Rattus norvegicus: one gene and its partners. The main gene of each other region encodes a partner of the protein of the gene in region 7 in a complex. Links are inferred from orthologs where the notes say so. Each region holds a gene or a part of one and is shown on either strand. Other genes may lie near its edges. The genes, in order: Med31, Med20, Med4, Med7, Med25, Med16 and Med24.

Region 1 (4,012 bases), about 27 Mb from region 7:
ACAACTTAACACGAGAAAACTTATTATGAAATATAAATATTATTAAAGGGTAATTAACAATTTGTGAAAGATGATGCCTTGCTCTGTAGGTTTCAAGCAGGTATATGATCAGGCCAGTAGTCAAGAAACATGACAAATCTGGCCCCTCTTCGCAGATTTCAAGTCGTCAACACATTCTAGAGGGACCTAAGACTATAAAACTTACCTGGTGTAGAGACTCAAAGAATCTCTTTGTCCATCGTCTGGGTTTACACAGTACTACAAATCGGAAACCTTTCTGTGCTGGCTTCAGGTTAATAGTACGCTGGGTCAACAGCAGGATGGACTAAGGTGCTGCAATGTCAATACATGTTAACAGTGCCCAGAAACCACAGCCTGCTTCTTACACTGTTTTATGGGCTGTTTCCATGAAACCAAAGATACTTGGCTCTCCTGGAAGCTGGCTGGCAATTCCTCAGTCCTGGCTAAGGACCATGGCACTTCATCGAGTCATTCTGGCACTCTGCCGAGTGGCTTGCTTGTCTCGCCTGGCTGGGCTCTCTACGCGGTGCACAGTAGTCTCCACCCGCAGGGATGACGACGCCCTGACGTGGCGGGAGGACGTTTCCATGCACTGCGAGGAGGTTTCCACGTGCTGGGAGGACACCTCGAGGAATTGAGGGAGTCGCTTCGCGGAGGGGGTGAGGGAGGGTCCCTCTCGGTGGCGCTGGGAGGTCTCCACTTGCCGGGAAGACGTTAGAACCTGCCGGGAGGACGTCTCCACGCGGTGGGATGACGTTTCCTCGCGGTGGGACGACGTCTCCATGCGGACAGTCGATGTCTCCTTGTGGCGGGTGCTTTCCACTCGCGGGACGGAGGACTTGCTCCTAAGGGGCGAGGCCATCCTGCCCGTACACTTTGGTCAGGAGGAACAAAGAAGCCCAAGGATCATGCTCTGCGTCACGCCACCCGGGGGAAGGTGACGTCAGAGAGGTGTATTACATCAGAGTAGGCAGCAGGACTCAGACCTGAAATCAGAGAAGCCCTCCGGCACGCCCCGCTCGATATCTGCGCGCGCAGTCGGCCCGGTCCGCACAGATGGGCGGGGCCACTCTTCCCCAAAGTGAAGTTGTCCCCGCCCTCGTGTCCCACTCTGCCCCGCGACCGGAAGTAGGACCCGTGACTTCCGGATTCTCCTTCACCAATCCGGGCTGCGGTTGGGTCGGGTTGGTAGTGTTTGCGCCTTTCTGCTTGCTATGGCCGCGGCCGTCGCTATGGAGACAGGTGCGTTGTGTTTTGCACGGGAATGGTCCTTCGCCCCAAAATCCTCTCCCGTTTCCCTTCCCCTGCGCCGTCTTCCGGGCTCAACTCCTCATCCTTAGAGTTGGGACCGGCGGAGGAGAAGGCGGTGTTGCCCCCCAGAATATGGCCTGTAGGACCAACTTTGCTCCTGTGTTGCTCTAACCCCTACTCCAACCCTGACTCGCGGGGCGGGCCGGGGCGCATAGAAAGGACTGAGACCTTCCACTGTCTGCTCTTTGGAACTTCTCCAAACTTGCCTGAAATGTCGGTAACCTGTGTATTCTAATGCATATCACCGTCTTCTCTCCATTGTTTAATCATTCCTGCTTCGTTTTTGTGTAGCACTTTGTTTTTGCTTAACGTAATTAGTTGTGGTTATAACAACATAGGGAACCGTACAGCTATTGCAGACTATCCGATAATCTCCGCTCACGTCCTTCCACAGTGGCGTACAGGTTCTACATATTTTTTCCTCAACGAACTTTAAAGGATTTTTTTATTACTATTTTTGTTTTGGAAACAGGGCTCACTAAGTAGTGAATTAAACTAAATTTCTAAGGAAGTTTCTTCCACACTTTGATATTTGAGTTCATTCATGAGTGTGCATGTGTGTGTGTGTTTATGGGGGTGAGCGGCGGTGCATGCCAAGGTTAGAGGACAACTTGCAGAAATCGGTTGTCTTCCTACAACCCTGTAGGTTCCAGGAATCGAACTCAGGTCATCAGACTTTGCAGCAAGCACCTTTACTTGCTGAGCTGTTTGACCTGCGTTTTATTTTTGTTTCTACAAATCAATGTTTGTATTGTGACTTTTATTTTGGGTGATCGTTCCTTCCTTCTTTCTCTTTTTTTTTTTACTGTCTTTTCTCCTAGATGATGCTGGAAATCGACTTCGGTTTCAGTTGGAGTTGGAATTTGTGCAATGTTTAGCCAACCCAAATTACCTTAATTGTAAGTTAAGTACATCATTAACTTAAGTAGCTCACTAGATCTTAATGGTTTCTGAGAAGAGATGCAATTTGTAATAGTATTTATTTACTTCGATGTGTTTGGGGTTTTACTTGTGCTGGTCTGTAAGTATCAACTGAGCAAACAAGGGCTTGTGTTTTTTAATCCCTTGTGTTTTGTCGGTAGGGATGTTAAGAAGAGCTACTTTACTTAAGAGATTACAGATCAGCAGCCCAGCAGTGGTTGACATACAGAGTGTTTCTTTGTGTCTTTCAGTTCTCGCCCAAAGAGGTTACTTCAAAGACAAAGCTTTTGTTAATTATCTTAAGTACTTGCTTTACTGGAAAGAACCAGAATATGCCAAATATCTAAAGTAAGTTTAATTTTTAAAATCCCAAAGCTGTGTGTACTTTATTATAAATACTAAGTGCTATTATTTAGCAGTTTTCTCGGTGTCAGAATGGAAAACAGCATTTGGGATCTTTCTGCTTTTAGTTGATGTAAGACGCTGTTATCTCTAACTTGGGTTGATTATGACAGGAATTTCATTTATTTCTGCTACCATTCTTACCTCACTCCCTTCAAACAAAACCAAAGAACTGTCTACGTGGGAGCCAGCTTACTCTCTTGGCAGTGTAAGTCAGAGCATACTGTTCGTGCAGGCTAAGATCCAGTGAACTGTTGTAGACTACAGTTCTAATGTAATTTGGTCGTGTCTAACCATGTCACTTAGCACTGCCCCTGTCTTTCTGGGGTTTTGAGGCCTAACAACCCATAACCTGTGACGGTAGGAAGAACTGTTTCCTGAGAGTCTTAGAGGTCCTGCCTTTCTTTGTGGTGTCCTTTGTTTCAATCACTGTGCGTATTAACTCACTGTAAAAGAACAGACACAACAATATCACATCAAACTCTGCTTTGACTTAAAAAGAGAAAAGAAAGCCAAGCTGGCTTTAATCCCAACATTTGGGAGGCAGAGGCGGGCGCATGTGTGAGTTCAAGGCCAGAGCTGCTTCCAGGACAGCCACTCTACCCAGGTAAACCCTGTCTAGACACTGCCCCAAAGGAGGGGACAACAACAAAAACCCCAGAAGTAGCTTGGTGTCCCTTTAATCCCAGCTCTCAAGAGGCAGAGTCAGGCAGATCTCCGTGAATTTGAGGCCAGCCTGATTATGTTGCAAGCTTCAGGCCATTCAGGGCCACACAGAGAGACCCTATTTTAAAAATTAGAGGAAAACATTTCAAACCTTTTTTTTTTTTTTAATCGTAGTCATTTTTCTGACTTGATTCCTGGGCTGCCTGTAGATTTGCTCTTCATGATGCAATTCTAGATTCCTCTAGGAATCCAAATGATAGGCTTGAAATTACTATTAGAAAAGTATGGGGTTGGGGATTTAGCTCAGTGGTAGAGCGCTTGCCTAGGAAGCACAAGGCCCTGGGTTCAGTCCCCAGCTCCGAGAAAAAAAAAAAAAAGAAAAAAAAAAAAAGAAAGAAAAGTATAACATGTTACATGTTAGCAAACTTTTAGCCACCTTCAAGCTCAGTCTCTCCAGCCCAGCTGTTGAAAGATGATTGTCTCCGCTCTGTTGGAGGCTCCCTATGATCATAGGTCCCTCTACTATTAGAGGCAGCTTACTCCATTGATAGCCAGAGGTAAGGGAGCTCTTCTTATATACTCTGATCAAATACACCTCCTTGTAGCTCTAAGCCGTTTGTAGGCTTGTTCCTTATTCTGTTCATCTGTGTCCTCTTGGAGGTAACAGCTATAGATGTTTAAATTCGAGAGA
Region 2 (2,913 bases), on a different chromosome or scaffold from region 7:
ATTAGGTCTTTTGCTTAGCAAGCTTCTTTCAGTGCTGCATTTCCACTCATGACAAGGACCAAGCAAAGTACCCAAGTGGTCATTCTTCAGGCTACATCTCATGTTTAAAGCCAACTGTGAGCTCAAATGGAAAAGAGCAAAAATGAAGGGACTGAAAAGACAGCTCAGTAGTTAAGAATGTTTTTGCTCTTGCAGAAGACCTGATTCCATTCCCAATATCCAAATCTGCCTGAGACACCATATCCAGAGGAGTTGATGCCCTCTTCTGGCCTCCAAGGGTACTGCAAACTCAAGAACAAACCCCCCCCCCCCATTCCCGCCATGCGTGCCATTAAAAACAAAATCTTTTTTTTTTTTTAAATCAAGAATGGGGTTGGGGATTTAGCTCAGTGGTAGAGCGCTTGCCTAACAAGCACAAGGCCCTGGGTTCGGTCCCCAGCTCTGAAAAAAAGGGAAAAAAAAAATCAAAAATGTGGGAATGGAAGCAAGGCAACTTCAATTACCAAGATGCAAGATTGTTTGTGCTTCTCTTTATTTTTTAGAAACTGATCCCTTCTTATGTAGGAACTGAGAGTCCATATTTACCACACTTAACATCTGTGTTTTCAAGCGACCAGTACAAAGTACAAAGTAGACAGCCTGCAACAAGACCAAACACAGAACAGAAGGCCGAAACTGTAGTGTTTGTCAATTTTATTGTGGTATCTAAAACACCTCAGTTTTTACACAGCAACAATAAAAGAGTAACAACAAAAGCAAGAGGAAGTAACAGGATAACCAGGAAGGTGTGATGAGCTGTCCTGCCCACCAAAGCTAGGACACAAGAATGACCCACCTCCTCAGAGCTGCTGCACAAACACTGCCACCCTACACTTTGTATATGAACAGCTTTCCCAAGCCTGTCTACGTGTTAAATGTTTCTGTAACAGGTGTGAGGCAGGTGAGCAATGTCAGTGAGTTCAAGGCTCAAGCCAGCCAAGACGGCAAACTAGGAAGCCCCCTGAGAAAACTGAGTGTTGAGTGTCAGGAATGTGTGTCCACAGTGATCTAATCAACTTTGAAAAACATCCCTATCTCTTTCCTCAGCAGACTGTGGGCACGGAGATACTGAGCGTGCTTTGATCCTGTGGTGAGGAAAGCATTCTGGGGACAGTATGATAGAAGGAACAGTAAGACATAAGAAGCCAAGTTCCTGGTAACCCTGTGGAGTTCATTCTGTTCTGTGGAACTGAATGCCTCTGAACTATTAACGAAAAATAAGCTGTGCAGTAAGAGCCCTCTGCTTTTGGTTCTGCTACAGCAACTTGGCCTGCAGGTTCACATAATTCAAAACAGTAGGGGAAGACATCAGTGTCCAAAGAATGAAAGCAACACTCTCGCAGCCAACAATCCCGTCCTGCCAGCCACATCCTCAAGCGAAAGCAGCACAGGCATACAGCCTATTCGAAATGCTCAGCACCTGGGGACACACAGCTCTAGCACTGGTGGGCACAACCCTGTCCTACCTTTTGCCTACAGGAGGAAAGGCCCAAGCCTTTCCATTCTTCACAATTACCATTCTTGAGGACCAGCCAAATCCAGTTAAAGCATGAAGTAAAGAACAGCTGTGATGTGGTCAGGAGGGGAGTCCAAAGCCCTGGAACACAAGCTACAGCTGGGACCCAAGTCCAGCACGTGGTCCTTGACAGTGCCATGGTGACAGCTCAGCAGGCGGCAGCTGCCAGTCACTAGCGGATCCCAGCCACAGGCACTTGCTGCTGTTTCCGGACCTTGTTGAAGAGCTCCATGTACTGTACCATGGTATCTGCTGGCCCGTAGACCGCATCATGTCTGTTCCCAAACACTGTGGGCGCCCCTGGTGTGTGGCTACCTAGAAAACTCTGTAGGAATTCAAGCAGGAGGCTCCAGCAGTCACTAGCTACCACACAAGGGCCATACTCCACCTGGGACAAGAGAACAGACAGCAAGGGTAAGGACAAGGATGGGCTAGCTAGCTTCCCTCCTGCAACTGCAACCGTCCAGTCACTGGTGAAACAATTAGACAGTGTTGGCCTGGGAGCCTCCTGAAAAGAAACTTGACACGAGGGTCCTTCCTTTTCTCTACCTGGGCACTTCCCAGACTCTCTTGTTTGGTTGTTACTTTGTGACAGGATCTAACTGTGCAGCTGCAGTTGGCTTCAGACTCGCAGTCCTCGGGCTCTGTCTCCCAAGTGCCGAGACAGTAAGCATGTACCAGCACTCCCGGCCTCCGACTCCTTCCTCCTTAGTCTGTCCACTGCTTTACAGGTTACCATTTCAGTCAGCAAGACTCAGCCTGGTTCCCTAAGCCACATGCCTTTCTGGACTCACTTCACATGTGTGTGTTTCAGCTCTGCTTGCTTACCAAAACCATGCATTTTCAGAATTGTTTTATTGTTTCTAAAATCGCAGTTAATGCTGGACACATGGTAGGCTATGGACTTTCACTCTAAAGCTATCTTTCCATACTCTCCATGTCATTTTCAACATCTACATATTTAGGTTCAGTGTTGAAGGCCATCAGCCAGTAAAAATGCTTGCCACCAAGCCCGATAGCCTGAGTTCAATCCCCAGGACCCACATGGCAGGAAGAGAGAACTGATTGCTCCAATCTCTAGATGCACACCTACACCCACGATAAGTATGGTCAATTTTTTTTTTTGACTAAAAAAACTAGATGAAGGCATCTCATACACACATTCTTGGCCATCATGAAAGTGGACAGATGCCACAGGGAAAGATACAGTTTTGTTCCACAGCTCTGGAAGCCTCTTGTAAAACATACTAAGGTGGGGCACGGTGGGCACTGTATGACTGACAGCCCACCTCAGACATCCCTCAGAAAGCTGTGTCCTCAGCCCTTCCTGGAAAGGGTGTTGGTCCCCATACCCTCAC
Region 3 (4,056 bases), on a different chromosome or scaffold from region 7:
CAACCAAGAAGGTAACCCAGTAAGTGCCCATCAGATAGGGGGTATGGTGAGCACATAAGGAGAGAAGTCAGACTTCGAGGGAGGGTGTTGGCACCTATTCCAGTGTGGATGGACCATGATGGCATTCACTAAATGAATGAGCGTGGTGTACTGACTCAGCATTTGGGAGGTTGTGATGAGAAGGTGAGATCCTTTTTAGTTTGGGATTAGCTTACACAACAAGATTCTGTCTGAAAGGAAGAAAGGAGAACAAAGCCAAATTCCCAAAAACCAAAAACAAACCAAGAAACCCCAAATTAGAACAGCCTATGTGACTCCACTCATACAAAATGAGTAGAATAGTAAGATAGAAACAGAAAGTACAGTGTGGTTTCCAGGGATGGGAAGTCGCTCTTTCATGAGTATACAGTTTACATTTTAGTAGATGAAGAGGTTTGGGATGTTTTTTAACTGCAATTTGTTTTGTTTTGAGACAGGGTTTCTCTGTGTAGCCCTGGCTGCCCTGGAACTCACTCTGTGACCAGGCTGGCCTCTATCTCAGGAGATCTGCCAGCTTCTGCCTCCTGGAGTGTGGGATTAAAGGCATGTGTCACAACTGCCTTGCTTAACAGAAATTTAATGCCAGTGAATCCTTTGCACACAATGGTTAAGATACCAAATTTTAGTAACCAGGCACAGCGGTACACCCCTTTAATCCCAGCACTCAAGAGGCAGGAAGATCTCTGAGTTCGAAGCCAGCATGGTCTATAGGGCAAGAATATGTACTTTGCTACCAAAAAAGGAGTAGGGAGGGAAGAAAGGATTTTACCTCCTGCCCCAAATTTACTACAACCTCATGAGAGACCAAACTTGATGGCTGGGATATTATTATTGGAATACAGACAAACTAGAAGTTAATAAGTATGCAATTCCCCCAGTTTCTTAAAAATTCTTTTGTTAGAAACCTTCCATTGATGCTGAGGAAACAGAAGACCCAGGAGACTGGGAACTGTATCTCTCATTCTGGGTCCAGTTGGAGGTATCAGATTGGAACCCGCCACAAGGCCTCCTTTGCCCTGTAGATGGCGCTAGAACTGTAGTGCACCTCCAGGACGATAGGCGGCGCTCTAGCGGGACCACTCCGTCCCGACCTCTATTACTCTTCCTTCCGTCTACCGGTCCCGCCCCTCCTGCGGCTAGCTCGCACTGCGCATGCGACGGCTGGTGGGCAGTGGGACGATGGCGGCTTCTTCAAGTGGTGAGAAGGAAAAGGAGCGGATGGGAGGCGTTTCAGGAATGACAGGCCTTGGCAGTACGCGAGAGCGGCTTCTGTCTGCGCTGGAAGATCTGGAGGTCTTGTCGAGGTAACCGCGGCCTGGGAGCCTGCTCCGGCCGGCTCGGCTGTGGGTTCTGACTGGGTAGGCGGGCTGGGGAGTCTCCGGCCAACGTGATGGACGTGGGGTCAACTGCCTTCCGGGGCTTTGGGCGGCATTTCCCCTATCAAGGGGATATTTCAGTCACAATGACCTGGGACCCCAAGACAGTCAAAACTTTGTAGTTGCCGGTAAGAGGACCAGATCCGAGCCCCCTCATTCATGGACACTGAACAGACATTTAAAGCACGCTCCCTCCCGGATACAAAGTGTTGGGATACTGTAGTCAAGAGGAGACTAGATGCCAACACGAAGGAGCCCAGGGCAACGAGGGAGACGAATGTTTAAAACTGCTGTGGGCCAGGTTTATAAGGGTTGAGCAGTAGCCTTCTGCAGTCCACGGATGGGATTTCTATTCTGGTGGCAGCAGGGCAAGCTTCCCTAAGAAATGGGCTGCATGTAAAATCATCAGGCTTGGTAAGCGTCTGGTAGGTAGTCCAGCATCTGAAAAAGCCTGAAAATGTCATGCAGGACAAGGCGGGGTGACTGGTGTGTGGCCGAGATAGATTAAATTGGATGTCATACTCCACTTTGTCCTGATTGTCTCAAGTCTATCAGTTAGAGCCTTATCAAGGGAAGGCAGCCCTGGCAATCTGTACCGTCTTACAGGAAGACATAATTTACACAATTGGCAGCTCTATTGGCCTGCAGACCCACAGTCCAGTCAGGAGACTGCCACTTAATCACAACTGAGTCTTTGGTGATCGTGTGCAGTAGCCGGTGACTGCTGAAGTGTTTACAGTCACTCTGAGTGTCCAGCATGTTGAGAGGACCATGAACCCAACAATCAATTGGGGCAGGGAGCAATTAAACAGTTTCTTTTGTATTTACTTTAACAAATTGTTAGTGCGCTATGAAAAGGTTTCACTAGATAGCCCAGGCTGCCCAGAGTCCTCCCAAATACCGAGTTCACCTTACCCTGATAGTTGTTTTTCCTGTAGGGAACTTATAGAAATGCTTGCAATTTCAAGAAATCAGAAGCTGTTACAGCTGGAAGAGGAAAATCAGGTAAATGGTTGTATTATTAATTATTATTATTACTATTATTATATTAAAATTATTTATGTTGGGCAGTGGTGGTCCACACTTTTAATCCTAGCACTGCGTGGGAAGAGGCAGGCAGATCTCTGACTTCGTGGCCAGTTTGGTCTACAGAGGGAGTTCTAGAATAGCAAGCTCAGATAAACCCTATCTCAAAAAAAAAAAAAAAAAAAGATAACTTAATGTTTGAAAGTTTATGTTTATTTTGTGTGAATCTTTAAATTGATACTTTTTTAAAAAGCATTACTTTATTTTATTTTTGGATTTTTTTCTGAGAGTGCCTCTCTGCCTGCTCTGCAGACCAGACTTGTCTCAAACTCATGGCCATTGGCCTGCTTCTGCACCCCCAACCCGCACCCCTCCCCCGCACCCCCTCGATTGCTGGGATTAAAGGCCCGTGTCACTGTGCAGGGCACATTGGTACTTTTCTTTATGGCACTTCCGTAACACTGTGCCTAAGAAGCTCCTAGCCATACATTGTGGCCCACACCTTAAGTCCCAGCACTGAAGTGTCCCAGGTAGGCAAATCTCTGTGACTTGAGGTTCTTCATGGTTTAGATACGACTTTATTCCTTGACTTTTGAGTTAACCAATAAAACCTTATGAAATAGAGACATACAGTATGCTGGAAGGAAGTTGTTAGTACAAACCCTGTATGTTGCTGCTTCATCCCAGTGAAACTTGAAGTGAGTGGAAGTCAATGGATATCACTCTTAGAAGCTATCTATACTGTTCATTCATTCTAATTTTCTCCAGTAGATAGATGCATTTTATTTTCTTTTTCTGATTCAGAAACCTCTTTTTCCTTTCTCTCCCTATCCTTTGCTTTTGAGTGTGTGAGTGTGTGTGTGGCAGGGGTAGTTTTCAAGACAAGGCTTCTCTGTGTATGTAGCCTTAGCTATCCTGAAACTTACTTTGGTCACCACAGGGTCATAAGAGTGTGTGAGCTGGCCCTGCCCCTTGGTGGCTGCAGCACTTGGGAGAGTGGGCCCTGTACACAGTAGTGCTGTACCGGGTCGAGGGGACATGGGTGAGCCAGCCCTGAGCTGGCCCTGCCACGTGTTCTGGGTGTGGGGTGTCGTCGTCATCACCCCGCGGCCCCCCCCCCCCCCCCCACTTATCACCTACAGTAATTGAGAGAGCAGGCCTGCCCCTTGCTGGCTGGAGCACTTGGGAGAGTGGGCCCTGCCACTTGTTTGTTCTGAGATGGTGTGGGTGCAGGGGTGATCCCCTCTTTATATCCTGCCCCCCCACCTCTGCACCACCATCTGTGGTAGTCCAGAGTCGGCCCCAAGGGCATGAATACAGGAGACCTAGCCTTGCCCACTCACTAGCTGTAGACTCGGGAGAGTGGGCCTGCACCACCGGGGCTGGTGGAAGGTATGAGTAAGCCAGCCCTGAGGCTGTGAGAGCAGGAGAGCTGGCCTGGCTCCTGCCTCTGGTGGCACTGGGTGGCCTAGCTGGAGCGTGCTGGAGAGCTCCCCGATGGTGCAGACGCAGCAGAGCTGCAGGCTGACAGCTGCCACCCAGGCCCACACCCAGCGCTCTGAGTCGTTCCTCCCCAAATCTATATCATCTGCAAGAGTTGGGACATGTGAAAGGG
Region 4 (4,360 bases), about 53 Mb from region 7:
ATGAAACTTCACTGATGAGAGAAAAAAAATACCAACCTAAGACCAGAGCAGCCTGATCAACACAAGTACAATGTTCAGTACAAGTTCGTTGTGGGTTCAGACCATATTATCTTCAAGCTTCCTGATGGGAAGTATAAAAATTGAGAACTTGTTGGCCAGCAAAGACAACAGGTGTGCTAATTTCACCCTAGGGAGACAGGTAATCCTGGCAAAGGAGGAAGAAGTGAAGAGAAAAATAAGGCAAAGCTATGGCTTTATGAAGATCTGATTAGTCCCTTGTTAGACTAATGGGATAGAGCAGGGAAGGTGCAGAAAGTTGCACACAAAGATGGCCTTCCAAAAAGGTCTGCCCTCTGTCTACTTTGTGATAGCATGAGTTATGGTTCCAACATTCAAGTATAAATTCCCATTGTACAATTTCTGCAACTGACAGTGGACAATGGCAGGCTCCTTTTTACTGTAGAATCACCACTTACACATACTTAGTCACGGACTCCCAGGTACCATGTCTTCTTTACAATACCTGCTCTGGTCCTACGGCCTGCTGTGTCCTGGCTCTTAACTCTATTCACCCAAGACTACAGGTTGTTGCTTAACTGAATCAGGCTTTAAAATGCTGAATCGCCATGTTCACTGCAGTGAGGATAACAGAAGTGAGAACCATGAGACATGTCTAGTGTCTAACTACACACCCAAGTCGAGGTGTGCAAACCTTGTCTATGAAGGAAATTCTGAGAACACGGAACAGCCTCACTTGGAAATCCTACGATTATTTTTAATCTCTTCGAGCCCTTCTCACCTGTTAAAGAGCACTCATATGATCGTTCAGTAAGATCTGTTCTGCTTGTTTAAAAAATGATGTTAGCATTAAGGACTCACACATTGTAGATAACCTGACAAATGTAAATAAAGCATTCAAAGTGGGAAAACAAGCAGCAGAGTCCACTGCGGGTTTGCAGAGGACTTTATTTACTGTTATTTTTAAACAATTTTTTAAACTGCCCTAAGCATGATGGTTGTTGAGTCCTAATGATTGAGAAGCATGATAGCTGTGAGTTCAAGGCCCATTTGAACTACATGGGCCAGCCTGTGCTAAAGATCCATCTTTAAAAACCAAGAAAATATTTTAAAAATATATAAAATTGGGAGTAAGATATGGTAGTGGTCTGCAAGATATTAGACGAGTGAGGAAGCAAGCATGATCAAAACACACATGTTTGTGTGTGTGTATAAAATTCTCAAAGAACAAACATATATTCTGAAAACTAAGAGAAAAGGGTCTGTATTGGGGGGCTTATACATGGTATATGATATACTTCTTTTTCATGCCTGACTCCTTTTGGTAGGCATACGTTGAAACCTACTCTGGGAAAGAACAGTTATATACAAAGTCATATGCCTTATTTATTTCTCTTTTCCATAATCAAACTACATATGGTGTCTATCAATCTCACTTTGCTTTCTACTGTACAGTGATTTCCAAAACCAAACACTTAAGATTCTCTATACGTCTTGACAAAAATCACTTGTTAAATTTCATACTTCTAGAATTTTCCAAGGTTTCTGAGGGAAGCCTCATCTTACAAACATCTTATAGTACAGTTTTATTGACAATTGGCATTTTAACATCTTTTCTACATAAATTTAACACCTAAGTCCCAACACTGCAACATATATGGTCAAAATACCCTCTGCTTTTCCAATTTGAGTTTAAGTACATTATACAATGAGAAGATTCTTGAGCGCTTTTTCACACTGAGATTCAAGGTAACAGGGGAAAGTAACATACAGGTTCCGTACACCTGGAATACATTAAATCTGAGGGAAGTCACTTCAAATTCTTCAGGTCGTCCAACTCAACTATTTCAGGGTATATATACCTAAGATACTAGTGTCTATTTGCAGTCACATCAAGTCAACACCCAGCCTAAATTTCGTCCCCTGAGGGCTTTTGAAGATGAGATCTGCGCTTCCCTTAGCCACACCCATACTAAATTCCCATTTCCCAAAGGTTTCTAATAAGTGACCGGCATCCTCACTTCTATCTTCCTAACGGCACAACTATTCCCAATTTGATTTTAGAAACAAGAAGCCAGTTTCCAATGTGCAGAAGTGGGTAAAATGTATAACGGGAATTTGTACTCCGTTTTTGTTTTGTTTTGTTTGGCTGTTTCGTTTTGTTGCGCGGAAGTGCAAACCCCGATAACTCAAGCATCCCGTTTTAGAGCCTGCCACCTTACAAAAACCGCCCTCACCGGTTTAAACTGAACTTTTCAGAGCCGCTGGATGTCCTCACTTGCTAACACTAACAAAATTCAGTTTCTAGCATTTGCTTGGGGGGCGGGGGGGGGGAGTGGTCGCAAGCTCAGACACTTGGCTCACTTGGTCCCTGTCCCTCGTAAAGTCTGGTACAGGATAAGATCCGCCCGAGGCTCTCCCTCCCCTCCCCCAGCCTCCGCGCTCCCAGGTGGCTACTATCATTTTACTAATGCCGACAGGGCAGGCTAAGGCCACGACACTTTAAAAGCCCGTGGCGTGGGGACGAGAACTCGGACCTCCCAACCTCCGGTCCGGCTCGTCGTCCGGTCCGCGAGACGCCCGGAGCGAGCCGCACTCCGCGCACCTTCGGCCAGCCGCCTGCCTCAGGCCCCGGGGAGGCTCCGCTGAGGGACGTGGGAGGAAGGCGAGCCCGGGCTTCCCAGGTTGTCCCGCGCCGGACCTCGGCGTGGCGCCGGGAAAGACGCAACCGCGGGGGCGGAGAGACAGACTCTGGCTGCGGTCGCCAAACGCCGCGCCGGCTCACCTCAGCTCTAGCTTTTCCCGTAGCGACTTTTTCCTCAGCGCAGCGGAAGCACAAGTTCCGGTTGCCTTCTCAGGAAGAAGCCTCTGACGCGGGCCTTTAATTGGCTACGAAGCCTGTCCTATAGCAGGTCCTACTCCCGCCCTAAAGATACTGCGCATGCGCACTCCCGCGTCTCCCGCTTCTCCCGGGAAAAGATCTCTTGTCTATCTTCTTGGTCAGGTCAGGAGAGTGTTTCTTCATACTTCTTGTTAGTAAAAGAAAGTACTCTCTAGTAATTCGACTCCTCGCCGCCCACCCCCTTTATATAAGACTCTTAAAATTAAATATTTGCCTTATATAAGTCAGAAAATACAGATAAGCAATATTTAAAAATATCAATGCTAACCTTATCATCAAAAAAAATTTTTTTAAAGCAAGTTGTACTCCATGATATATTCATACATACATGGGGATATTTGGGAACATGATTAAGACTAACATCCTACACCTTCATTTTCCCCCTTCCGTTCACTTTTATTTTCATTTAGGAATTCAAAGATGTATATGACAATTCTTCCACAAACCGACAAGTAAAAAAAAAAATTAATGTAATTTTTAAAATTAGAAGGAGTGGGCAATTTCACTGTGTAGCCCAGGCTACACATGGTTTCAAATGTCTCTTCCGAGCCTCAGGAAAGCCAGAGGTTCAGAAATGAGCCATCAGGACCAGCAAGAAAACTTTCCATTTAGGCCTTCCCCCACCACACATATAAAAGAATTGTTAACAGATGTCCTAACTCATGGGAGTCTTAAGAACGCTTGTTGCAAATTAAAAGTGAGATAAGACTGTTCTGCTAAAACAGCTCTGCTTCAGAGACAAGAATGTCCCAGTTTCTTCCTTTAAATATGTGAAGAATTGCAGGCATAAAAGCGAAAGAACAGTCTACTCATCACCAACTTCCACAGCTATATGCTCCCCATCAGTTCGCCTCTAGTCCAGTATGAGCCTCTCAAAGGTAAGGGCTCTTCGCTTTTTCCCATGCCCATAGCATTACTATCTTACTGAAAGTGTACCAGGGGTTGTTACACTGATCAAATGAGTGTGTGTTCACACATGGATATATATGTCATATAACTTATTAGAGTGGCTTACAAGATGCAGTTCAACTAGTCCAACAATGGCTGCCTCCAACCTGAAAGGCTGAGAATCCCGTAGCTGCTCAGTCTAAGGGGCTGGATGTCTCAGCAGACCCCACCTGGCGTTGGAGGCCTGGAGGATTTTTAGAGAGCTGCTGCTCTTCAGTCTGTGTTGGAATCCCAAAAAAGTTTGGATCTAATACTGGCAAAGGAATGACACAGCAGTGGGACAGATGAAGTTGCCAGTGAGAATGAGAGCAAGCAACGAAAGAGCAGTTTCCTTTCTTCTTGTCCTTTTATCTGGGCAGCTACAAGAAAATGCCATTCGGTCTTTCTGCTTCTAAAGATTAGCCATCACCCAAAGTTAAATGAATAGGGGTTCAGATGTAACTCAGTTGGTGGAAAGTTTGCCTAGAATAGTACATATAACGCATAGGGGGT
Region 5 (4,377 bases), on a different chromosome or scaffold from region 7:
CAACGTGGAAAATTTTAGTTTATGGGTGAGCACTGGGGTTAAAAAAAACTTGTTCATACTGTTAATTCCGGCACTCCAGAGGTAGAGGCCAGCAGATCTCTGAGTTCTGGGAAGCCTCACTAACTAATTTACAGAGCAAGGTCCAAGACAGCCAGGGCTAACACAGAGACAGACTGCCATGGGGCCAGAGGTGGAGGAGACACACCACAAAACAATGTCTGGGGGTTGGGGATTTAGCTCAGTGGTAGAGCACTTGCCTATCAAGCGCAAGGCCCTGGGTTCGGTCCCCAGCTCCGAAAAGAAGAAAAAAACAAAAACAAAAAACAATGTCTGGGACACTGTCTCAGTTGCTCCAGTGCTTGCAGTGCAAGCATTTGGGCTGAGTTCGAATCCCCACCACCTACGTATTTTATAAAGGGCTTGTGTATTATTTTTCCTTTTTTCTTTTCTTTTTCTCTTTCTTTCTTTCTTTCTTTCTTTCTTTCTTTCTTTCTTTCTTTCTTTCTTTCTTTCTTTCTTTCTTTCTTTTTTTTTTTTTGAGACAAGGTTTCTCTGTGCAGCCCTGTCTTCCTGGAACTCTTTCTGTAGATTGGGACTGCAGCTCAGATACACTTGCGTTTGCTGTGGATTGGAATTTAAGGCATGTGCCATCACAGCTTTGTATCTTTCTACATTAGTGAGGTTTGTTTAGTAGAGGTTGTTTAGTAAATTTTTGTCCACACATATGTTATAATATAATTTTCCAGATCCCTTTATATTCATTTTGGCTTATGTCATTAGCTGCAATGCCGAGACTCAGTTTCCTCACATTCCTATTACACTGTTTTTATATATTAGTATTATTATTTTGTTATTATTATTGTTTTCTTTCTTGCTTTCTTTCTTGTTTTGTAAAGAATGTATTTTCTTTCAGTCGGTTTCTGGCTTCTTTCCCAGAAAACAGAGATTAGGTGTTGCCTAGCAACCTTGATTTAAATTGAAATTCCCTTCTTTCCCAGCGAAAACAACTGTCTTGCTTCCAAGTCCTGGGCAACTTTACACTGTTGCCTAGCAACGTCGTTTCCGATGATGTGATTGGACTACTCTCTCCCATCGGTTCCTGGTCAGAAAGAACAGAATTTATTAACTTAATCTCTGTGTCAGACCTCTATGGCAGGGCACGCGTTGCCTAGCAACCGGGTTCCCGAACTCCCTTTAGCCCGGAGTCGGAAACAAGATTTCGACTCCAAGATGGTGGCCGGATGTGCTGTTTTTCGTTTTATTTCGTGCTTGATGTTGTGCACAAAAGTTTGTTCGACTTCAAGAGGCCCTTAAAAGGGCTCGTTGTGCCCATTCTGAGAGTTTCATGCTGTTGGTATGCGCCAAGGTAGAGATAAAACCACCACTCCCAAGATGCCCCGCACAAACATGGCCGTATCAGCATCAGCAGAAGTTGCCAGACGTCCGGCGGGAGTGCGCGCACCGCGCAAGCGCACTTCTGTTCGTCCCGGGACGGCGACGGCCTCTGCGGCGCTGGCGGCGGCGGCGGCGGCGCGGGGCATGGTCCCCGGATCCGAAGGCCCGGCCCGGGCCGGGGGCCTGGTCGCTGATGTGGTGTTTGTGATCGAGGGGACGGCAAACCTGGGGCCGTACTTCGAGGGACTCCGCAAGCACTACCTGCTGCCCGCCATAGAGTGAGTGAGACCCTACATCGCCTCCCGCTGCCCTAACCTAAGGCTTGTGCCGACGCTGCCTTTCCTCCGTCTTCGCAGGTACTTCAACGGAGGACCACCCGCAGAGACGGACTTTGGGGGAGACGTGAGTGTGCGGCCGAATCATGGGGAGGAAGCTGGTAGACCCCTATGTCTGAGGGAGCAAAGATGGGGTCCTTAGTCTTGGGTTTGAAGAAAGAGAGACTCAGTTTATTTCTAAAATGATCTGAAGTTGGGAGGCCCTGTTCCTTGCCAAAGATCTTCGTTTTAAAGTTCTTTTGTCCTGTCTTCGCAGTATGGCGGAACCCAGTACAGCCTTGTGGTGTTCAACACAGTAGACTGCGCTCCAGAGTCCTATGTACAATGCCATGCTCCTACCAGCAGTGCCTATGAGTTTGTCACCTGGCTCGATGGCATCAAGTGAGCTTTGACTTCATTTGGGGCAGGATGGGGACCCTAAGAAAGACTGTGGGCATGGTGACTTGTGATTGAATAGTGCCTGGAGTTCAGTGTGGGTCCCCACAGTCTGTACCTGAGTATGCCATACCGTCAGCTTGCTCTTCTTCTCTGTCTACTCCAGAGGAGTCTGCAGGATGGATCTGGGCCTTGAGAGTACCTTATGTGAGTTGGGTCATAGTTTACAGTGTAGCTGAGGCTAACCTTGAGTTCCTGACCCAACTGCCTCTACTTTCTGGTTGCTGGGCTTACAGACTCGTGCCACCATAGCCAGCTTATGGAATCAGGCAACCTGCAGTAGCCACGGCTTCTTCTCAGACATATTTCCTAGGTCCCAGGGTCCTTTGTGCTGCCCATTCCTTCTGAAAAGGAAACCTGTAGCACTTGTATTTGTTTTTTGTGCTCTTGGATGTCTGTTACTGTATAACCGGTTCTCCCCCATGCTGCCTTGGTTTAAGGATTTCAAACTGAACATTTGCACCATCTGTAGGTCAGGAACTCAGGAAGATAAGTGGGGTCATGTGTGTTTGGTCTGGTCTCACAGGGCTGTGGTCATCCACTCCCTGGCATGCCTGAAAGAACCACGGTCAACTGCTTGCTCTGTGGCTGGGGACAGAGCCTTCGTTCTTGCTGGCTGTTTGCCATCATGCCCTCGAACATGGCAGATTAACACCCAGACTGGCAGCTGCCTCTGCTCAGAGTGAATGTGAACCCAGAGGGCAAAGAGGAAACTACCAGGTTTTTTGATGACCAAGTCATACCTCATCACTTTTGTCACAACTTGTTTGATAGGTGAGTCTGCCCTGTTCCAGACAAGAATGGGTGACCAGTGGGTTCCCTGGGGACAGACCACCAGAGCCTTGTAGGGTGCTGGTGCTTGGCACATAGTGAGCAGTGTGTGAGTGCCTGCTTGTACTGCTCGCCCTGTCCCTGTTCTTGGTTTGCAAATGAGTAACCTATAGAGTGGTGGGTGCTGGAAGGCTCACTGATGCTAATCTTCCCAGGTGGGTTCCACAGTCTGGTTGTGGTCAAGGTTCATTTAGTGGTGCTGATCTGTTCCTGCTGGTTCTTCCTGCTTGGTTGAAGCAGGCGTGTGTGTGTGTGTGTGTGTGTGACAGACAGAGGCAGAGAGACTTGGTAAGAGGCATGGGAAGCTGGCCTGTGTACTGCCCCCGGAAGTTGTTGGGATTAGAATTAATATAAAGCAAAGCTTCCTGTTCTTGATATTGTTGACACTTTGCACTCAAGTTTTTAAAACAGGTTTTGTTTTGTTTTTTTAATTTAATGTGTATGGGGTTTTGCTTATATGCCTGTGTGTGCAACACTTGTGCCTGGTGCCCTTTGAGACCAAAGAGGCCATAAGATCTTCTGGAACTGGAGTTAAACAGTGTACTCCAACCTGGATCCTCTGAAGAGCCGCCAGTGCTCTGAACGTTTCTATGCCCCCAGTCCAGTTTAAAAACCTCACAGCATCTTGTCAGGTTTTCCGGGCTAGCCACACAGTTCTTTCCATCCTTCTGCCTCAACCTCATCAGTGCTAGGTTTTCTTGTCTGAGCTGCTACACCTAGCTTAGATTATATAAATCTTTTATTTTTTTTAAAGGATTTTTATTTTAATGTGCATTGATTTTTTTTTTTGTCTTACGATTTTTTTTAAACTTTCTATTGAAAGAAGTGACTTTCTATTGGTGAGAAGTGACTTTCATACCATGTACCCCAATCCTACTCAACTTTCTATCTCTTCATATCCACCCTTGACACTTACAAACCTCCTTTCCAAAATAAAAAAACAGTGTCTTTTTTTTTTTTTTTTTTTTTTTGGTTCTTTTTTTTCGGAGCTGGGGACCGAACCCAGGGCCTTGAGCTTCCTAGGCAAGCGCTCTACCACTGAGCTAAATCCCCAACCCCTGTGTCTTTTTTTTTTTAAGATTTATTTTATTTATTATATATGAGTACACTGTAACTGTTTTCAGACACACCAGAAGAAAGCATCAGATCTCATTACAGATGGTTGTGAGCCACCATGTGGTTGCTGGGATTTGAACTCAGGACCTCTGGAAGAGCAATCAGTGCTCTTAACCATGGAGCCATCTCCATCCCAAAATCAGTGTCTTGATGTTTTTGTCCACATACATGTCTGTGCAAGGGCACCAGACGCTGGAACTGGAGTTAGAGATAGTTCTGAGCTGCCAGCTGCCCTGGAAGAGCAGCCAGGGCTCTTAATGACTGA
Region 6 (4,382 bases), on a different chromosome or scaffold from region 7:
GCGCGCGCGCGCGTGTGTGTGTGTGTGTTTGCGCGTGTGTGTGAGAGTGCGTGCGAGCACATGTATGCACGCCATGTGCCCGTGAACCTGGACAAGCTTCGTCCCAAGGGCTCATTTTATGCTTTCTTTTTTGGTGACGTGTGTATTATGTCCCCAGCTCCCTGCCTGCCTTTCAGACGGTCCCCTCTCCTCCTCCTCCCTTACACCAGGGGTCCAGGACTTCCAGCCAGAAGCCTCTGACCTTGTGTACCCTGTCCCCCTCCTCTGTCCCCTCTGCTGCCTGGCGTAGCTGTGGTCACGCAGAGTCCTCCCTTCCCCTTCCGTGTGACTCTTTGTGCTTGGGGAAAGGGACACTTTTAATAAAGCCTTGGTGCTCGGGCCTGCTGTGTGCTTATTTTTGGGGTTGGTGGGGTGGGAGAGATGAGACTAGGTCACTGAGGCTGGAGATCTGGACGTGGAGGAACCTCAAGTCTTGATGCGTTAGTTCATTTTACAACATGTAAAATGCATAAAGATGGGTGCCAGGCTGGGGTTTGGTGGGGAAAGCATTGGCTACCATGCTCAAAGCCCTGGTCCCATCTCCAATACCACATAAACCGTTACATGTGACCAATGGGTCAAGTGAGTTTCAGGCCAGCCTGGGCCATATGGGACAGACAAGTCTGATGTTGGACACCTTCAATCCCAGCACTCAGGAGCCAGAGGCTGATGGATATCTGAGTGCAAGGTCTACATAGCCAGGGCCACACAGTGACCCTGCCTCATACAAACAAAAGCCACTTGAGGGCCAACAAAATGGCTAAGCGGGTTAAGGTGCTTGCTGGCAAGTTCAGCAATCTGAGGAAGGAAAGAACTAATTCCGGGTCCTTTGACCTGCACTGTGGCAGGCATGTCACCCCCACCCCCCACCCCCACCCCCACCCCCACCCCCACCCCCACCCCCACCCCCACCCCCACCCCCACCCCCACCCCCAACGGTGTAAGTAAGTCCATGGCCAGGTGATGCACTTCTGACACCCCAGCAGGTAGAAGCTGTTACAGGAGAACCTCATCAGTGGGAGGCCAACCTGAGCTACAATGAGCCCTTCTGTCGAGAAACAAAATGGGAAAAACGTGTGCGGGCCTTCGTAGGACGTTATGCTGTATGCCAGTTATGCTGTATGCCAGTTCCTCTGAGAGGGCAAAATATGGAACGCTTCACGAATTTGCGTGTCATCCTTGCGCAGGGGCCATGCTAATCTTCTCTGTATCGTTCCAATTTTAGTATATGTGCTGCCGAAGCGAGCACGAACTACGGGCTTACCCAAGACATATTTATAGGCTCAAAATTGAGCTACTTCGCACTTAGGGTGAGTTTTCTCTGAAGGAATAGTATTTGTCCTGCTTATATAGTTAAGCCTTTCTATAAGATCTAGCCAATCATTCGAAAGAACAGATTATTTGTCTTTTATCGCACGTGTAGCCTCAATAATTACTAGGAAATTATTATATGCAAATTAACCGGGGCAGGGGCGTAGTCCGGTTCCCAGAAGTCTGTTCGAGGGGGCCGGCGCGGGCCGAGAAATGGCGGCGCCGGATCCCGGGCGTTGGGGCGAGTGTGGACCGCGGCCGCCCGGTCGGCTGGGCGCCCGGGGCGGACAGGTCAGTGCGGAGTGCGGGGTATGGGACTCCTGGCTGGTGCATTTCTGGCTTGGCCCGCGAGCGGAAGGCCGAGGGGCGGGGCCTGCGGGGTCAGAGGGCGGGCCTGGGAACAAAGCTTGCTGGGTAGAGGCCGGTGAGGGGGAGATGTGATTAGGTTCCCCGCTTAAGGTGAAGCCTGAGGCAACTAGGCTGGGGAGGGGGCGTGGTCCGAGGGGCTGAGACTCCCTGGGAGGGGCGTGGCCTGAGGTTCCGAAGTTGAGCGAAGGGGCGGAGCCTGAAGCAATAAGTCTGATAGAGAAGGCGGTGGGCTAAGGAGCGGAGCCTAAGGTGGGTCGGGGTTAGGGACTGAAGATCTGAGACTGATGCAGAGGGGTTGGTGACCTGATAGTCACAAACTGAAGAGAAGCGGGGGATGAATAAAGTTAGTAGTTTTGTTTGGAAGCAGAGCCTAGTGTGATTAGATAGTGTGGGTGGAGCTTAACGAGCTTGGGCGGGACGCGGTGAAGCACGTGTGTTAAGCCTCAGGTGGGCCTTGGATGTTAACTTATTGCGAGTGGGACTAATGGGCTGGGACGCGGCCTGAGCTACTAGGTTCCGGGGCAAGTCTCTGGAGTGTAGACTGAGGCCCAGACTGAAGTGGTAGGAGTGGGCCTGGTTGTGTGTGTGAGGGTGCTTAGCACTTGTAGGCTGAGCTCACAGCGATCTGGGTGGGTGATAGGTGGCCTAGGGAGGGGTGACCTCAGGTGGGGCATCATGGAATTTCTAGCAGGGCTCGAGCTGGAGAACATTCTAGACCCACTTTAGCCGGGAGCTGCTATAGAGCATGCCTCCCTTCTCCCCAGGAGCCAGGGACGGTGCTGGGTGCGGTGGGTATGATGGACCTAGCCTATGTGTGCGAATGGGAGAAGTGGGCCAAGAGCACGTACTGCCCGTCGCTGCCCCTGGCCTGCGCCTGGTCCTGCAGGAACCTCATTGCCTTCACCACAGACCTACGCAATGATGACCAGGGTAAGTGCTAGTTCTGTTTCCCTGACTGGGACCTGGGGATTGAGACCAAGTGGGTGGGCTGTGATTTCCTCATACAATGGGTCCCGATTTGGTAGGTTCATGGTGGCAGAGCCAGGCTCTCCATTGCCAGCTACAGGGTTTAGAGAGGCCTGGGAAAGCAAGGTGGGAGAAGAGACATCCACACTTTGGTCACCATCCTCCAAATCTAGTGATAGTGCCTCTGGAGAGACACTGGCTGCACTGGATACCCTGTGTAGGGATTAGCAGCATGGGGGAGGGGTGTTATAGGAGAGGGGCAATGGGGGTGGGAATCATGGGCACTGTGGACCACACTGACCTCAGTGTTCTCTTTCCTGCAGACCTCACACACATGATTCATATCCTTGACACAGAACATCCCTGGGAAGTGCACTCTGTCAGCTCTGGCCACAGTGAGGCCATCACCTGCCTGGAATGGGACCAGTCAGGTGAGGCCATGAGGTTTGCTCTCAATCCAAAGCCCAGGACAGCATATGCCACCTTCCTCAGTCATCAGTCCTAAGTCTGGAGCCTGGGGACAGCCACTGCCCACTGGGAGTCCAGAGTGGGGAGGGGACACCGAGCAGTTTACCTGCCCATCAGAAGGGCTCCTGACACAGCTCTTTCATCACAGGGTCCCGGCTCCTGTCTGCCGATGCTGACGGGCAGATCAAATGTTGGAGCATGGCTGACCACCTGGCCAACAGCTGGGAGAGCTCCGTGGGCAGCCAGGTGGAAGGGGACCCCATCGTGGCTCTGTCCTGGCTGCATAACGGGGTGAAACTGGCACTGCACGTAGAGAAGGTGAGTGTACCACTGGGGGACCAAGGGGTACATGGAACGGAACCAGGGGCTGGCATGTGCTGTGAGTACCTGTGGGTTACTGCTGTCCCCGAGAGCCTCTAACCCTGAGCCTCCCTTTCAGCTATGGCCCCTGGACAGGGAGTCTGTTTAACAGATGTCTGCGTCTGCAGTGCTGTCTTACAAACATCCTCAGACCCCAGAATCCTCCTGTCTGTCTATATTCTGGAGTTCAGCCACTTAGGAGCGGGGACAGAGTTGGACTCTAAGTCCTTTTCCCTTAGTAAGGGAGGGGAAGTGGCAGCCTGTGGGTCAGGAAGCACAACCAAAATTCAGTTCCATGATTGCTACAGGTTTTTGGAGCCTAACGGCTTTCACATTGCCTCTCATCCCCAATTCTAGTACTTAGGAGGCAGACAGCTCTCTCTGAGCTCAAGACCAGCCTGGTCTACATATCCAGGTCCAGGGCAGCCAGGGCTACACAGTGATACTTGTTCTCCAAATTTAATGTAAGGGCTAGAGAGGTAGGTGGCTCAGTGGTAGGAGTACCAGCTGCTCCTGCAGAGGACCTGGGTACATTCCCAGCCCCTCCATGGCGACTCACAGCCATCTGTAACTCCAGCTCCAAGGGACTCCGTGGGCATAAGCTCTTTGCAACCTAGTCCTCTAGCCCAGCAGAGGCAGCGGAAGAGAAAAGCTGTTAGGCTATGGGGGAAGTGGACCTGATGAGCAGTAGCTCTTTGAGGGTGAGCTAGCAGTGGTTCAGTCCCGCAGCAAACACCAAATAGGACTTAGCAGGCAGACACCAGGCACGAACCAGCAGCTGTAGTTCAATCCTGAAGAAAAACACCAGGAACCTCAGGAGCAGTTCTTGGCTGACTTTCTCTCAGTGACAGCGTTACCACAGCATTGAG
Region 7 (3,582 bases):
CCCAGGGAGCCGCTCACCCACCACTTCCTCCTCCATCCAGGCTCTGACAGCCCACCTTGCTGTGCTGCCCAGGCCGTGCCCAGTTAGGGTGGCTGGACTCTCCTTTCCCTCTCGGCTTACGGCTTCCCTTCCCTACCACTCCCTCACATTCTTTGTCACACACTCATTCAACTGGCACAGCAGGTAGTTGGTGTCTCTCTGGATCGAGAGGGTTTTAACCCTGCAGTCCATGAGTGGGAAATATGGACCCCAGACAGCTTGGCTTCTGTCCTCAAAGACTCCAAGTTGTAGAGAACCAGCTGAGGCAGAAGAGCAAAGGGATTATATGGCTGTGTCACTGTCGAGGAACTCTGAGGCATCTGCAGTTTTTATAGCTGCCCTCCCCCACCCCCAGCTGTCCTGGTGACCATTTCAAGTACTGGCTCTTGAGGGACTTCCGCCACACGGGCTGGTGGTGTCCGTTCATTCCCCCCAACTGTTAGGTTGTTGGGCTGTTGGTTTTTAAATGTGGCGTGAAGCACATAATAGAAAATTTGCCATTTCAACTGTGTTTGTGTGTCACTCAGGATGTGGGTTGTGACACAGATCTCCAGACATTTTCATCTTGTGTATCCGAGCCTTTTAGCCAATAAGCAACTGTCTACCCCCCCTTCTGGGTTCCCGGCAGCTACCGTGCTGCTGTCTGTCCCTCTGAGCAACTACACTAGATACTTCGTATAACTAGAATTACGTAATACCTGCTTTTTCATGACTGACTGACTTTACTCAGCATAATTTCCTCAAAATTCATTCATACTCTGGCATGTGACAGGATTTCCTTCCTTTTAAGGCTGAGTAACATTGCATATCCGTGCCCCTCAAGGGGACTTGGAGAGAGTTGCTGTGTATGTGGGGCTGGGCTGGCTTGCAGGGCAGCTGCTGAAGATGCTTTCTGAGGGACATATGGAAACAGCCCAAGCAAAGTTTGGGGAGGCTCTGTACACTCTTATCTGCACTCCCCTGCCTGTGGGACATCATCCAAATTAAGTGTGTATAACACACACACACACACACACACACTATAACACACACACACGCATGCACGCACGCACGCGCGCACACACACAAATACACACGTACACACACACACACATTAGCACACGGGCACAGAGGGGCTCTGAAAGTCAAGGTTGCACTCTCTGCACCCTGACATCCCAGCAGTTAGTACTCAGACCCCAGCTGTGTTTGCAGCCCAGATGTTCCCAAGAGGATTCCAGGCCGTGCACATTTTGCCCAGCTGCCCAGGGCCGGGAAGAGTCTCATGGGGCAGCCTAAAGGCCTCTCCTGGAAGTTACAGTTTACTTTGGGAGGGTGCCAGGGCTGGGTCGGACCCCCTCCCCCAAGTGCTCAGCTTAAGTGGAAGTGATTGTGTTTATTTATGACCCTGATTTGGCAGTGCTCAGGCCTGGGGGAGGGGACAAGGGGATGGGGATGTTGAGGGGAGGAGAAACAGAAAATCTGAGTGGATTGATGGAATCTGCAAGAGAAGAAAATCCTGGTCTGTGCCTCTCCTAGGCTTCAGGCCTGGCAAGTGAGCTCCTCGCCAGGAGTGAACTGTATTGTCCTCCCCAGCATACTATGGGTCTAATTCCTCAGCCATGTTTCCGTAACCCAACCCAGGGGTAATGCCTGCATGTACCCTCCCTGCTCCCCTAGGGTGGTGATTATGAACTCAATCTTGGAACACATGTGTGCGGACGTGCTACAGCAGACAGCCACGCAGATCAAGTTTCCATCCACGGGCGTGGACACAATGCCCTACTGGAACCTGCTTCCTCCCAAGCGTCCCATCAAGGAGGTACTGACAGACATCTTTGCCAAGGTACTGGAGAAGGGCTGGGTGGACAGCCGCTCCATTCACATCCTTGACACCCTGCTGCACATGGGTGGCGTCTACTGGTTCTGCAACAACCTGATTAAGGTACTAGGGCTGGGGTACATGTGGACAGCCATATAGATAAGGGCAGTAGACATCATCGGTTGGGATAGACCGGGCTGGGGTGCATGTGGACAGCCAGCTGGACAGGGGGAGGAGATGTCATCAGCTGGGATAGGCTGGGCTGGGGTGTATGTGGACAAGCCAGGTGGACAGGGACAGGAGACATCATTGTCTGGGATAGGCCAGGCTTCTTTGAGAGATTGCTAGAAGCTGGGTGGTCTCCTGGGGAGATAGGGCTTCACCTCAGAGAAGCACCTTGGGAGTTAGGGTTGAATAGCACCTTTGGCTGCTGAGGTGGTTAGAGCATCAGAATCCTAGGGTCCAGGCAGCACCTCAGGAGCCACTCGCCTGCCTCTCAGGAACTGCTGAAGGAGACTCGCAAGGAGCACACGCTAAGGGCAGTTCAACTATTGTACTCCATCTTCTGTCTGGACATGCAACAAGTGACCCTGGTTCTGCTGGGCCACATCCTGCCTGGGCTGCTTACTGACTCCTCCAAGTGGCACAGCCTCATGGACCCTCCTGGCACCGCACTAGCCAAGTAGGATTCTCTCCAGAGCTTTTCTTGAGCCCCAAGCATCTAGCATCCAGATTCAGTCTGGTGTCACCCAGGATCTGGGTGGGAGTGAGGGACAGAAGGGGCTCCTTCACTGTGAACATGTAGCTTCTTCTGGGACCGACTTAACTATGCCTTTTCCTGGAACCTTTGCTAGGCTAGCCGTTTGGTGTGCCCTGAGTTCTTACTCTTCCCACAAGGGACAGGCATCCTCACGCCAGAAGAAGAGGCACAGAGAAGACATAGAGGTAGGCCTGCTGCTGACTTGGTCATGTGTTTATTCAGCAAACATTTTCTTTTTTTCTTTTTTTTTTTCCGGAGCTGGGACTGAACTCAGGGCCTTGCGCTTGCTAGGCAAGCGCTCTACCACTGAGCTAAATCCCCAACCCAGCAAACATTTTCTGATCGCTTAAAGCAGAGGTGCTCTCCCAGCCAGAGGTTGGGGCTAAGGTCATCTGTGTGTGGGCCTGTCTGATTGGTCAGGGTCTAGAGGAGTGGCTTGAGTGGTCCTCTGAGTATCCTTGATGAGGATCCTTTTCTGCTCACTGGGCAGAGATTGGGGTATGGGAAGGGTCACCACTGGTAACGCTGGCCAAGGACTGTAGGAAGCTCACTTCTCCAGTCAGATCTGCCCTCCAGTCCTCTCCAGCTCCTGGAGACTTAGGAAGTCGAGTGTGTGACAGTGACTCCTTGTCCCCAGGATTATATCAGCCTCTTCCCTGTGGAGGACATGCAGCCTTCAAAGCTTATGCGGCTCCTGAGCTCCAATGAGGATGATGCCAGCATCCTGTCAAGTCCTAGTGAGCACTTGGGGATCATGGGCCTGCCCAGGACTCACTCCTCCCTCACGAGCTTCCTCGACTCCCAGCTCATGGCCGTCTGGCAGAGCAGGAGCTTGCACTTCTCTGTCCCTAGTGGGTGCTCTGACCCCACAGGTCCTCCTCCCTTATCACTGGTGGGAGGGTGGCGAGGCATTTAGTGAGTTCACCAGCTTGACACAGCTTGTACCACTGACTCACCCACTCTCCCTTCCTTCCTAACCCAGAGA

The links.
Region 1: Med24 (region 7) and Med31 share a complex: the UniProt entries of both Homo sapiens proteins name them as parts of the mediator complex. The link is inferred for Rattus norvegicus from reciprocal best matches to the Homo sapiens genes MED24 and MED31.
Region 2: Med24 (region 7) and Med20 share a complex: the UniProt entries of both Homo sapiens proteins name them as parts of the mediator complex. The link is inferred for Rattus norvegicus from reciprocal best matches to the Homo sapiens genes MED24 and MED20.
Region 3: Med24 (region 7) and Med4 share a complex: the UniProt entries of both Homo sapiens proteins name them as parts of the mediator complex. The link is inferred for Rattus norvegicus from reciprocal best matches to the Homo sapiens genes MED24 and MED4.
Region 4: Med24 (region 7) and Med7 share a complex: the UniProt entries of both Homo sapiens proteins name them as parts of the mediator complex. The link is inferred for Rattus norvegicus from reciprocal best matches to the Homo sapiens genes MED24 and MED7.
Region 5: Med24 (region 7) and Med25 share a complex: the UniProt entries of both Homo sapiens proteins name them as parts of the mediator complex. The link is inferred for Rattus norvegicus from reciprocal best matches to the Homo sapiens genes MED24 and MED25.
Region 6: the proteins of Med24 (region 7) and Med16 are in contact, whole or in part, in a cryo-EM structure (PDB 7EMF), measured with the Homo sapiens proteins. The link is inferred for Rattus norvegicus from reciprocal best matches to the Homo sapiens genes MED24 and MED16. Residues at the interface, in NP_055630.2 of Homo sapiens: Ile539, Leu540, Asn541, His544, Pro545, Glu593, Arg629, Met630, Leu631, Gly632, Leu633, Asp634, Glu635, Asp676, Gln679, Gln680, Thr681, Ala682, Pro702, Pro703, Lys704, Arg705, Pro706, Ile707, Lys708, Glu709, His737, Met738, Gly739, Gly740; in NP_005472.2 of Homo sapiens: His29, Cys30, Pro31, Ser32, Arg52, Asp54, Asp55, Gln56, Glu82, Asp102, Val126, Glu127, Gly128, Asp129, Pro130, Val184, Ser185, Leu187, Thr203, Glu204, Ser205, Cys207, Arg208, Leu209, Arg210, Gly211, Arg212, Asp232, Gly233, Ser234.

The regions. Positions count from the first base shown.
Region 1 is NC_086028.1:57,336,057-57,340,068, reverse strand, and holds the start of Med31 (mediator of RNA polymerase II transcription subunit 31), read left to right. Parts: upstream 1-1,179; 5' UTR 1,180-1,235; coding exon 1,236-1,263; intron 1,264-2,153; coding exon 2,154-2,231; intron 2,232-2,504; coding exon 2,505-2,601; intron 2,602-4,012. Other genes in the region: C10h17orf100 (uncharacterized protein C17orf100 homolog), read right to left, coding at 482-883. UniProt on the Homo sapiens protein: Component of the Mediator complex, a coactivator involved in the regulated transcription of nearly all RNA polymerase II-dependent genes.
Region 2 is NC_086027.1:20,867,166-20,870,078, forward strand, and holds the end of Med20 (mediator of RNA polymerase II transcription subunit 20), read right to left. Parts: intron 1,944-2,913; coding exon 1,728-1,943; 3' UTR 516-1,727; downstream 1-515. UniProt on the Homo sapiens protein: Component of the Mediator complex, a coactivator involved in the regulated transcription of nearly all RNA polymerase II-dependent genes.
Region 3 is NC_086033.1:55,104,873-55,108,928, forward strand, and holds the start of Med4 (mediator of RNA polymerase II transcription subunit 4), read left to right. Parts: upstream 1-1,206; 5' UTR 1,207-1,218; coding exon 1,219-1,343; intron 1,344-2,353; coding exon 2,354-2,420; intron 2,421-4,056. UniProt on the Homo sapiens protein: Component of the Mediator complex, a coactivator involved in the regulated transcription of nearly all RNA polymerase II-dependent genes.
Region 4 is NC_086028.1:31,353,526-31,357,885, reverse strand, and holds the start of Med7 (mediator of RNA polymerase II transcription subunit 7), read right to left. Parts: upstream 2,850-4,360; 5' UTR 2,804-2,849; exon of another isoform or gene 2,256-2,803; intron 206-2,255; 5' UTR 37-205; intron 12-36; exon of another isoform or gene 1-11. UniProt on the Homo sapiens protein: Component of the Mediator complex, a coactivator involved in the regulated transcription of nearly all RNA polymerase II-dependent genes.
Region 5 is NC_086019.1:104,509,172-104,513,548, reverse strand, and holds the start of Med25 (mediator of RNA polymerase II transcription subunit 25), read left to right. Parts: upstream 1-1,539; coding exon 1,540-1,673; exon of another isoform or gene 1,674-1,751; coding exon 1,752-1,797; intron 1,798-1,986; coding exon 1,987-2,111; intron 2,112-2,810; exon of another isoform or gene 2,811-2,939; intron 2,940-4,377. UniProt on the Homo sapiens protein: Component of the Mediator complex, a coactivator involved in the regulated transcription of nearly all RNA polymerase II-dependent genes.
Region 6 is NC_086025.1:10,447,765-10,452,146, forward strand, and holds the start of Med16 (mediator of RNA polymerase II transcription subunit 16), read left to right. Parts: upstream 1-1,508; 5' UTR 1,509-1,563; coding exon 1,564-1,641; intron 1,642-1,823; exon of another isoform or gene 1,824-1,968; intron 1,969-2,407; exon of another isoform or gene 2,408-2,483; coding exon 2,484-2,649; intron 2,650-3,008; coding exon 3,009-3,116; intron 3,117-3,301; coding exon 3,302-3,471; intron 3,472-4,382. UniProt on the Homo sapiens protein: Component of the Mediator complex, a coactivator involved in the regulated transcription of nearly all RNA polymerase II-dependent genes.
Region 7 is NC_086028.1:84,162,351-84,165,932, reverse strand, and holds part of Med24 (mediator of RNA polymerase II transcription subunit 24), read left to right. Parts: intron 1-1,695; coding exon 1,696-1,960; intron 1,961-2,337; coding exon 2,338-2,519; intron 2,520-2,691; coding exon 2,692-2,782; intron 2,783-3,234; coding exon 3,235-3,334; intron 3,335-3,582. UniProt on the Homo sapiens protein: Component of the Mediator complex, a coactivator involved in the regulated transcription of nearly all RNA polymerase II-dependent genes.